Arabidopsis thaliana: one gene and its partner. The protein of the gene in region 1 interacts with the protein of each later gene in a biochemical or structural test. Each region holds a gene or a part of one and is shown on either strand. Other genes may lie near its edges.

The links.
Region 2: the proteins of RBK1 (region 1) and ARAC5 form a complex in vitro, tested with the Arabidopsis thaliana proteins (one study listed by BioGRID).

Annotation. Positions count from the first base shown.
Region 1 is NC_003076.8:3,319,345-3,325,072, reverse strand, and holds RBK1 (ROP binding protein kinases 1), read left to right. Parts: upstream 1-2,162; 5' UTR 2,163-2,423; coding exon 2,424-2,436; intron 2,437-2,586; coding exon 2,587-3,039; intron 3,040-3,117; coding exon 3,118-3,375; intron 3,376-3,464; coding exon 3,465-3,619; intron 3,620-3,715; coding exon 3,716-3,795; intron 3,796-3,880; coding exon 3,881-4,019; coding exon of another isoform or gene 4,020-4,046; exon of another isoform or gene 4,047-4,104; coding exon 4,105-4,254; intron 4,255-4,333; coding exon 4,334-4,489; 3' UTR 4,490-5,064; downstream 5,065-5,728. Other genes in the region: AT5G10530 (Concanavalin A-like lectin protein kinase family protein), read left to right, coding at 1-95; AIL6 (AINTEGUMENTA-like 6), read right to left, coding at 5,065-5,615, 5,701-5,728.
Region 2 is NC_003070.9:28,473,689-28,478,302, forward strand, and holds ARAC5 (RAC-like GTP binding protein 5), read left to right. Parts: upstream 1-1,960; 5' UTR 1,961-2,275; coding exon 2,276-2,374; intron 2,375-2,742; coding exon 2,743-2,830; intron 2,831-2,917; coding exon 2,918-3,027; intron 3,028-3,139; coding exon 3,140-3,203; intron 3,204-3,285; coding exon 3,286-3,350; intron 3,351-3,428; coding exon 3,429-3,494; intron 3,495-3,590; coding exon 3,591-3,689; 3' UTR 3,690-4,114; downstream 4,115-4,614. Other genes in the region: VPS35B (VPS35 homolog B), read right to left, coding at 4,365-4,575. UniProt on the Arabidopsis thaliana protein: Involved in cell polarity control during the actin-dependent tip growth of root hairs, thus regulating root hair length and root hair initiation.

The DNA of each region.
Region 1 (5,728 bases):
CTGTCGCAACATATCATGTATCCTCTTCGAATACTACATCGGTAAGCTCTGGTGGAGCTACGGTAACGTTTTCAAGTGCTCAACATGGTCGTTGAGCAGATCCCTTGTTGCTGTGTGTAATATAGCCTTTTTCTTACTCTTGTTTCTTGTGTGTGCGTGTGTGTGTTTCACTGTTTGTACTCGGTCCTTGTGCTAAAAAATGACAAGGTCTTATTTTCAGTTTTTCTGGTGTCTCGACTCTTTTGGGCTGGGCTAATGGGCTTATAAAACTTTTTTTGATAAAAGGATACAAAATAAACGCGTCAGGTAGGGGTCGAACCTACGACCTTCTGCTTAGGAAACAGACGCTCTATCCACTGAGCTACAGACGCTTCTTTGGGAGTTAGAATCATAATATTAATAATGAAGAATAAATGTCAATAGCATTGAGCCATTGAGAAAATCGGTTGAACTGACTTCTCTAACTGAAAATTCACATTGGTGAGTTTGGTGGCGATTTAATTTTTGGGCGTATATTATTTTTTAGAAAATTAAGATAGAAATTAATGGTTGTGGTAGTATATATTAACGGGTTTAGTTCACCAACTAACACAATTAATCTTCCCTACTTACACTGCGATCGTTTGTTTTTATCTAGTTCTAAATTACTAGAACTAGTTTACTTCAGACAACAAACTTTATAAGTAGAAAACCGAGTCATTGTAGATTATTATATTTGTAATTTACTTAATGATGTTACCATGAAAACTATAAGTAGTATATATAAGAATTTTCTTTTGCGTATGGACTATATACGTCTGAGAAACAAAACCTAACTGTTACTAATGGAGTTTCAATGTAATGAATTGAGTTTGGACTTTGGCGTTTTGAGATAGACAAGTACTAAACATTTCACTTGGGTTTGTCTCACGGAAAGGTGGTTGATTTTAATGCCTTCGGGTGATAACTCTTTTTTTTTTCTCCACGCCTTAGGTGATGGTAAACTCATAAAGTCATTTTAATCCTCGAAAATTAAGGATCTATCCACGCCTCATATTATAAAGTAAGATTTGTGTTTATTATGGCATCCCATATGGCCATTGGTGCAAGTTTGAGGTGGGTCCAAATTGTCACGCATGAAAAATTGACAATGGTTACGTTGAGAAAGAAAACTACTAAAATAGTAGTATAGTTTATTCGTAAACCAAAACAATTGTAGCCATCATTACGAATGGATAGCTCTTGTTATTAACTTTCAAATAACAGGGATTATGTAGTAGAAACTTGTTTTTTTGTATTAGTATTATGGCTCGAAAGTGATAGTATTTGTGAATACAAATATTCTAGTAATAGTTGAATATTAAAAAATCATATCAATGATACGATGGCTTAATTTTGTAGTCAAATTTGTCTGCCATATGTTTCCTCTCTTTATGCCGCCACGAAAAAATTGAAAATATAAAGAAGAAGAAACAGACAGCACACTCACAATTTGTCGAATTTTTAACTAATGATTTTGTCAACTTCTATAAGTGCAAATCCATATTTTTTATTCCTTGGTTATAGAATTTTATTTAACTTTTACTAATTTTCGTTGTTTTAATAATTTTAAATCATACTAGCAAAAAATGTCATCCAAAATTAACTAAAACCTAATGTTCCGACACTTTCAATCTCATTCTACATGTAAACAAAAAGCTCAAAAATGTAAGAAAAAAATAACAAGGTTTGCTAAATTAGAAGAGCTATTTAATATCACATGCGCTATTTAATTTTCTTTTTTAATCACGAATCACGAATTAGCTATTTTGCGGAGAATAGAATTTGAGTGAAATATAATCATAACAAAATCCCTTTAATATTAACTCTCAATTCATTACAAGCAAAGGTGATGTCTTATTTTATATGACGAAAATGCCCACAAACCAGCCAGATATATCAACCGTTTGAGTTCTTTACATCGTAAATGCGTTAGTTACGGCAACAATCTCTAATCCTTTCATCTTCCTCAAAATTATTAAAATCATAGGACTACTAATTTAGAAACAAGAAATTACAAAAAACAAAACAAGAAAAACAAAACTTGACTTGACTTGCAGTTGAAAGTAAAAAATAAAAACAAAAGTTGAATTGCTACGGTGGAGTTGTATAAATATAGCAGAGATTCCAATCCATCTCCACTCAGCAAAAGCTGACTCTTCTTCTAACTTTCTATTTCTTCCAAGAATAACAAACTTTTTTCTCATAAGAAACAAAACAAGAATTCTACAAAACTTCTCATTAAACCTCTGTTTTCTTGTTTCTCTTCTGCTCTGTATTTTCGATAATTCTCTCTGTTTTGTATCCTTTCTTATTTTCTGTGAATCTGTTTTTTTATGGAAATTTAATTCAAAGGCTTATTAGAGGAAGAAAGAAAGAAAAAGAAAAAAAAACCCACTGGAGCTATGGCTGTTGAAGGTAAACCTAAACATAAAATTTGTTTGCTTTTTGTTAAGAAAGTGGGGGAAAAAAATAAAATCATTGATGCAAATTTATTTTCTGGGTTTATGAAAATTTACGCAGACATGTTATAGAACTGACTTTTTGTATTCCTTGTAACATTAACAGATAACAAGAACAGTGAAAGCAAAAATCATCAAGAGGTAGAGCTTCATAGGAACGACTTAGGCCTCGAAGATTCATCATCGCCAAGAGGTGTTCTCGGAATGGTTTCAGATTCCGACAACAGCAGCAGTAGTTGCAGCTCTTGTTCCTCTGATGATAAATCATCATCAACATCGTCACCATTTTCAAATACTACTAAAACCGTTTCGTCTTCTCACCATGGTCTTCAATGGAACAAAATGATTGAATCTATCAAGAAGAAGTCCATGAGACGATTCTCTGTCATTCCTCTTCTTGCAAGTTACGAACTCACCCGTAAAAACTTGCGTCGTAAGCAACCTAAGCTAACTCCCTCTGAGAGTGCTTTCACCTGTGAAGCCTTCTTTATGGCTAAACCCTCTTGGAGAAACTTCACTTACGAAGAGCTCGCTGTAGCCACCGATTATTTCAATCCTGGTATACACAAAAACGCAAACCCTTCTTCAATAGATTTTGGATTGAGAAATTTGAGTTTTGGTTTTGTTTTTTTGTTAGAGAACATGATTGGTAAGGGAGGACATGCGGAGGTATACAAAGGGGTTTTGATTAATGGTGAGACGGTGGCGATTAAGAAGCTGATGAGTCACGCCAAGGAAGAAGAAGAAAGAGTGAGCGATTTCCTTTCAGAGCTCGGTATAATCGCACATGTAAACCACCCAAACGCAGCTAGGCTTCGCGGTTTCAGCAGTGATCGCGGTTTGCATTTTGTTCTTGAGTACGCTCCCTATGGCAGCCTCGCTTCTATGCTTTTTGGTATACTTAAAAGTCTCCTTCTTACTGAAAATCTTGTGTCTAGTACTTTTTTCTACAATGTTGTGATATTGTCTCTTTGATCTTTGTAGGATCAGAGGAATGTCTAGAGTGGAAGATAAGGTATAAAGTGGCTCTAGGTATAGCTGATGGTCTGAGTTATCTTCATAATGCTTGTCCAAGAAGGATCATTCACCGTGACATCAAAGCTTCTAACATATTGCTCAACCACGATTACGAAGCTCAGGTAAATGATCTTGACAAATGACAACATCTCTAAACATTTTCTTGGTATTTGGTTGGTTTGAGAACCATTTACATATTGTACATTTTCTCAATTCAGATTTCAGATTTCGGACTTGCAAAATGGCTCCCAGAGAACTGGCCTCACCATGTTGTATTCCCCATTGAAGGAACATTCGGGTAAAAGAGAGAAAGCTTTGTAACTATCCATGAACAGCTTTGCTGATCAAAACTATAGGTTTCATTGGGTTTTTTCTCCCTTTAGATATCTAGCTCCAGAGTATTTCATGCACGGCATTGTTGATGAGAAGATTGATGTGTTTGCCTTTGGAGTATTGCTTCTAGAGATCATAACCAGTCGCCGAGCTGTTGATACAGCAAGCAGGCAGAGCATTGTTGCATGGGTAAATGCATCAGTGACTCTTTATTGAGACTCATCAAAAGTTCAGCTTGAGATCTTTTGTTTACCTTATTGATTTGGTTATACAGGCAAAACCTTTTCTTGAGAAAAATAGCATGGAGGACATTGTGGATCCTCGGCTAGGAAATATGTTTAATCCAACAGAGATGCAACGAGTGATGCTAACAGCTTCAATGTGTGTACATCATATTGCCGCAATGCGACCTGACATGACTCGGGTATAGTACCTATTCTTCCCATGTTCATAGAGCCAAAACAGATCTTTGGTATCGGTTTTGATGTGAATTCTTTGTGCAGTTGGTGCAGCTGTTACGTGGAGAAGACGGACCAGCTGAGCTACAGCAGAAGGCAGGTGAAAGAACAATGAGCGTGAACGCTTGTGATCTACAAGATCACACCTCTTCCTCATACCTCAACGAACTCCGCCGCCATAGGCAACTCTTAATGGAGTGAGTAGAAGCAATAACATCAACTTAAAGAACTGTTTATCAACCTCTTTCTTTTTAGATTTTTATTTTCTTGACTTGAGTTTTGCTTGTTATTCTCCATTGGTTGCTTTTTTTTCTTGTCCAACCAAACTGTGAATATCTTCAACTTGTGTCTCTCTGTTGCTTCTACTGAACTTTGTTAGTCTCAACCTCTCGGTAGAGTTGTCAATTTGTTACCAATGAGCTCACAAGTAGATAGATATCAAACAAATAGCAACACAGAACTTTCTGAAGATAATTTTTTCATAAATGGAAACAGAGTACACTGCGGATAAGCTGATAGCCTTATACATACAAGATACAAAAGAAACCATCCCCCCTAATTCCCAAAAACTACCATTTTTCTCCACCGAGTTTAGGTTTAATACATTCTTCCACATTTCCAACCCCCAACTACTCCTGCCTAAACAACAACAGTTAATCAAAAACAAAAGTGAGATTTTTAAGATTCTTCTAGTCAGCTTATGTGTTAGCCAGAATCAAGAAGTTGTGTCTCTTATAACGATAAAAACTTGACTCAATCAACTTATATGATTGGTTTTAGTAAGACTGATTAGGCCAGAGGAAGAACTCAGCCGGATTTGGTGCCATAAGTCCCATTGTTCCCTGAACGTTGGAGTTGTTGTTAGACCCGGTCGAGTCAGAAGCTGCATTCGCCGGAAAATGCTGGAAGAAGTTCTGTTGCTGCTGCTGCTGTTGGTGTTGCTGTTGTTGTTGGTGGTGGTGGTAAAGAGCAGCTGCTTCAAAAGGGATTCCACAAGGAATGATCTGTTGAGACTGAACTGCTGAATTAGGACAGAGAGCGAAGTTAATGCTACTGTGATTAGGAGATGACTGAAGCTGAAGCTGTTGTTGTTGTTGTTGTTGCTGGAAATGGTGAAGTTGATGATGACCGAGGATTGGTTTCTGCTCTGATGAAGCAGCAGCTTCCAAAGAGAGCTTAAGACGTTTAGCTGCACCACCGATGGGAAGTGCACTCTTCATGATGGCTTCAACGTCGTAACGGTTCATCTCAAAGTTAGTTACAGCGTTTATTCCTCTGAATTTGATTGCTGCTATGTCATACGCTTCAGCTGCTTCCTCTTCCGTTGCTACAACAACAACACCAGGACTAACTAATTAACCACAGACAATGATTGTTAAATTAGCTAGACCAAGTTTGAAGATTTTACATACCAAAGGTTCCAAGGTAAAGATCTTTGTT
Region 2 (4,614 bases), on another chromosome or scaffold:
TCTATATTGCATATATGGGCCCAATGTCTCAAGTCTCAACCATGTTTTAAATTTTCAGTACTAAGCAATGCATATGTTTTTGTTAGACACAATTTTTCTTCTTTTTTTGATAAAATGTGAGTTTTTTTTTTTTTTTGAAATGTGATTAATTACCAAAATGGAAACATTGTTACTTGCAAAAATCTTTGGGACAAATAGCTTCTAAGACAATTTGTTTTTTAAAAAGCCTCAGAAACTAATAAACGCAAAGATTACAAATAGAGAACTATTACGAGCTAGGCATGGGAAAACCATTGAGAGAGCAGTCACCGCGGCCTTTGCGGTACCTTCGAGCCAGGAGAGTGTCTCTAATTAATGTGCTCCTGTCGATTTGCTTAAAGACAGAGGCAAATCTGTTATGGAGACTGTTTGTACTTGTCAAACTATGGGCCATCAGTCGACCGCAGCCATTGTTAGACACAATTAACTATGTGCGCCATCTATTATGGAGACTGTTTCCACTTGTCAAACTTTAGCACTATGCCTTTAAAGCTTTAACAAATGTTGAATGACTGAGAAACCGACAAACTTTAGTCTACTACATCTTATCTATATACTAATTACGCAACAAAAAAATAAAAAAAAATTGGATAATGTTTTAAAACATAACATATTTTACTCTTCTTCTATGACAGATGAATTACTACATTCCAAAATAAACAAGTAAAAACTCTTGTTTCGTGGATAAGCATGCACTAGGCAGTCAATTCATTTGGAGTCTCACCAAACCAAGTACCCCATGGGCCCTGGTGGCAAAAATGGTCACTAATCATGATATTTCAAGAGTTGTCATAATGGGCCTTAATTCGCTACTGGGCCTCAAGTGTGAGCCTTCGTGTTATTGTCTTTTCTAGCTTCCAGTTGTGTTAGTGTGTTTGTGCCTTTGTGTTATGGCCCTTATGGCACTCCATATTGTCACTTGAATCACTAATGTAAAGTTTATTCATTTTCAAATAAGTCGCTTTAAATAGAAGCACTAGATTTCATGATCAATCATTATCAAATTTCTTATAAAAAAAATCATAAAGCCTGAAATTCATTTCATGTAAGAATCAGAATGAATGGGTAAAGGTGTTTTTGGTTGAGAGTAGGTAGAAGCGTAGAGCTAACTCTAACCCCTTCTTTAGTTTGGTATGATTGAATATTAGTTCATATAAATATAATTGGTGAAATTTTGATGTGTCCTTGGTCCTTTAGAAGCAAACTGTAATAATGCGACCGTATGATTTGGATAAATCTAATGTGGGACAATTCATGATGTGTCGTATGCTCATTGGTAGGTTGAAAGAGAGTTGAGCACGTTCGTGTAAGATTTTTCGATTCTTATGTCGTAAAGATGAAGAAAACTCTTTAAAATTACAACTATAAAAACAAAGACAAAGACACTCTTGACAAAATTAAACCATATTAATTTGATAAGGGATTTGAGAAAAAGGAATGAAATGGTGCCGTAACACTAAGTCGCACGTTCTTGACGAGAGTCGTCCCAATCCAATGATTAATATTTGGCAATTTCATGCCCTCCCTCCCCATAGTTTGGTCGTTTATTATGCTTTACTCTTAGTTTTTTTTCTTAAAAATTATAATCTTTATTTATTTGCTGTCTTTTTTTTTTATAATTGTCAATTAGGTTAACAACTATGGTCAAATTAGAAAACATTAGTTTTTGTTAAAAGAAAATTAAAAAAAAAATCCATGTTTATTAGTGAATTAGGTTTTTATTTTGGTGGTAGTTTAGCTAATCTCATAAAACAGATAGTAATTTCATAATGTAAAAAGATATTTCTACTATACAGAAAAGGAAAAGAAAAAAAAAAACTCATTACAACGGATAATTTCTCAATTTGTATTCAAATTCAAAATTAAAAGTGCTCAAAATTAGTATTATTTAAAAGAAATACTAAAGTGGGGTGAGTGTAAATGATAAGGTGTTGTTTGGTGTAGCAAATAGCTGGCATAAGGTTGGTATTGAAAAGCTCATCTCAGAATCATCAACGGCCCAAAACACATTGCAAATTAAAGAAAAAGCAAAGATTTTCCTCATTCTTTTGCCATTATTATCTCTCATCGATTTGGCTTGCTACTTTTGAATTTACCCGTGTTCTACTACGATTCGGGATTAGGGTTTTTTCTTGAGTTAGAAAAGATTGTTTCTTGATTCTTGGGAATGGCTGGGATTTGAGGAAGAAGAAGTGCAAAAGGGTTCTTTTTTTGAGTTTGTGAATTTGCTGCGGAGATGAGTGCTTCGAGGTTTATAAAGTGTGTCACCGTCGGCGATGGTGCCGTCGGAAAAACTTGTATGCTGATTTCTTACACAAGCAACACTTTCCCTACGGTAAAGTTTCTTCCTTTTGCTCTCAGTAGTGATCTTGAAGCATTCTTTGAAAATGGGTTTTTGGAGATTATTCATCTTTGTTCTTGAATGTGATTGATTAGCTGGTAAAAATTGTAAAAATCAATTCTTGACATGTTTCTTCAGAACTTTTATTGATGCTTCCATGGATTTAGCTTCTTTGTTATTTATCTTTACCTATGAGCATTGTTCTTCTTTCATTTTGGACTTCATGTTCAATTTGTATGTATTAGTCAAATTTGCAGATATGAGGATCTATAATCTTTTCCATTATTGTGTGTGTTAATGATGATCCACTATTGTGTGTGTTTTAGTTTAACAAACTCTATGACTTGGTTACTGAATATCAGGACTATGTTCCAACTGTTTTCGACAACTTCAGTGCTAATGTGGTTGTAGATGGGAACACGGTGAATCTTGGATTGTGGGATACAGCTGGTAAATAATCCTTTTGAAACTCATCAAATCTGGTTTTCTTGTTTTTTTGTGGTTTCATTTTGACTGATAATTCTTGGGTTTGTGCAGGTCAAGAAGACTATAACAGGTTAAGACCGTTGAGTTACCGTGGTGCCGATGTCTTCATTCTTGCATTCTCGCTTATTAGCAAAGCTAGCTACGAGAATGTAGCCAAGAAGGTTAGCTTTTTGTTGATCTAACGTCTTTCATTTGATAGTAATAACTTTCGTTAAGCTGATTTTGAATTGGTTCCTTCATTTGCTTTTTTTTTTTTTTTTTTCTTTATTTCAGTGGATTCCTGAGCTTAGGCATTATGCCCCTGGTGTTCCTATAATCCTCGTTGGAACGAAACTCGGTATTGACTCTCTTCTTGTCTAAAAACTCTTTCCTTATAATAAGAAAGAGATGAATAATAATTCAAGTTTTGGAATTTGCAGATCTTCGAGATGACAAGCAATTCTTCATAGACCATCCTGGTGCAGTGCCTATTACTACAAACCAGGTACATAACTCCACAATTCTTTAAAACAATAGTGTTTTTTGCTTTGCGAGTTCTTGATCTTTAGTTGTTTGTCTGCAGGGAGAGGAACTAAAGAAACTGATAGGATCACCAATCTACATTGAATGTAGTTCAAAGACTCAGCAGGTATACTACACACATAAATAATATCTCACATGTCTTTTTGTTTGGGATTTTTGTATTTGGTAAGACAGTGAAAATGTTGATTGTTGGGTTTTGCAGAATGTGAAAGCAGTCTTTGACGCAGCCATAAAAGTGGTGCTTCAGCCACCGAAACAGAAGAAGAAGAAAAAGAACAAGAACCGCTGCGTGTTCTTGTGATCGAACATCTCTTAAAACGAAAAAAGGTTTAGGTAACAAAAGAAGCTGAAGGAAAACGAACACCTGCAACATTGTATAGTTGTTGAATCCGGCTTGTTTCGGTCTTTACTCTTCTTTTTGCTGGTGAATCTAATGAGTGAACTGAGGCCAAGAGGAGGATTCTGGGTAAGAGAAGGGGATGTGTTCTTTTCTTGGTGTGTTGTTGTTGTTGTTGTACTTTTGCTATGTAGACTAATCTCTTAATACTATGTTGTCTTTGTTTTTGCTGTTGGGGTCCATTTTGTATTTTCTTTAACAGAAATCTTAATTAATTTTTTAGTGACTTTTTTTAAGCTTCCGTTGATCTTATGGTCTTGTATTGGTATGTAATTAGATTCAGACAACGAAGAACATCTTGAGATAGATCTCTATATACAATAAGATTAGAGACATCGTTGAATTGAGGCATAGTTTCAAAGAATGGTTTACAGAAACGAGGATTCTATACACACAGGTGAGGTGAGTATAAGGAACAAAGAAAATAACAATTACAAAGGTTTTCTCCATTTTGTAATAAGACCGAAAAGAAAACAAACATGTGTAGTGTACACTTCCTTTTCAGAGTTTCCAACATTTCTTTGGAAAATACAGAGAATTCCTCTCGGGATTTGATGAGGCTTGTGTCTCGGATTTAAGTCACAGCTTGATAGGGTCATATTTCTCACCCATCAAACCACCTTTCTGTTTTATGAACTTAATGTAACGCAATGTACTTGTAAAGAAGGGATCTGAGTGGATTGTCGTGTTACCGTTGTCGCTTTGCATCTCATTGTTGATCAATTCTATGAGGCTCTGTATATCAGATGGAGTGATATGTGGATTCCCTTTCTCAAAGAAGTAAATGTACCTGTTGTATATGAAAAAAACATTTTTAGTATTGAGATGC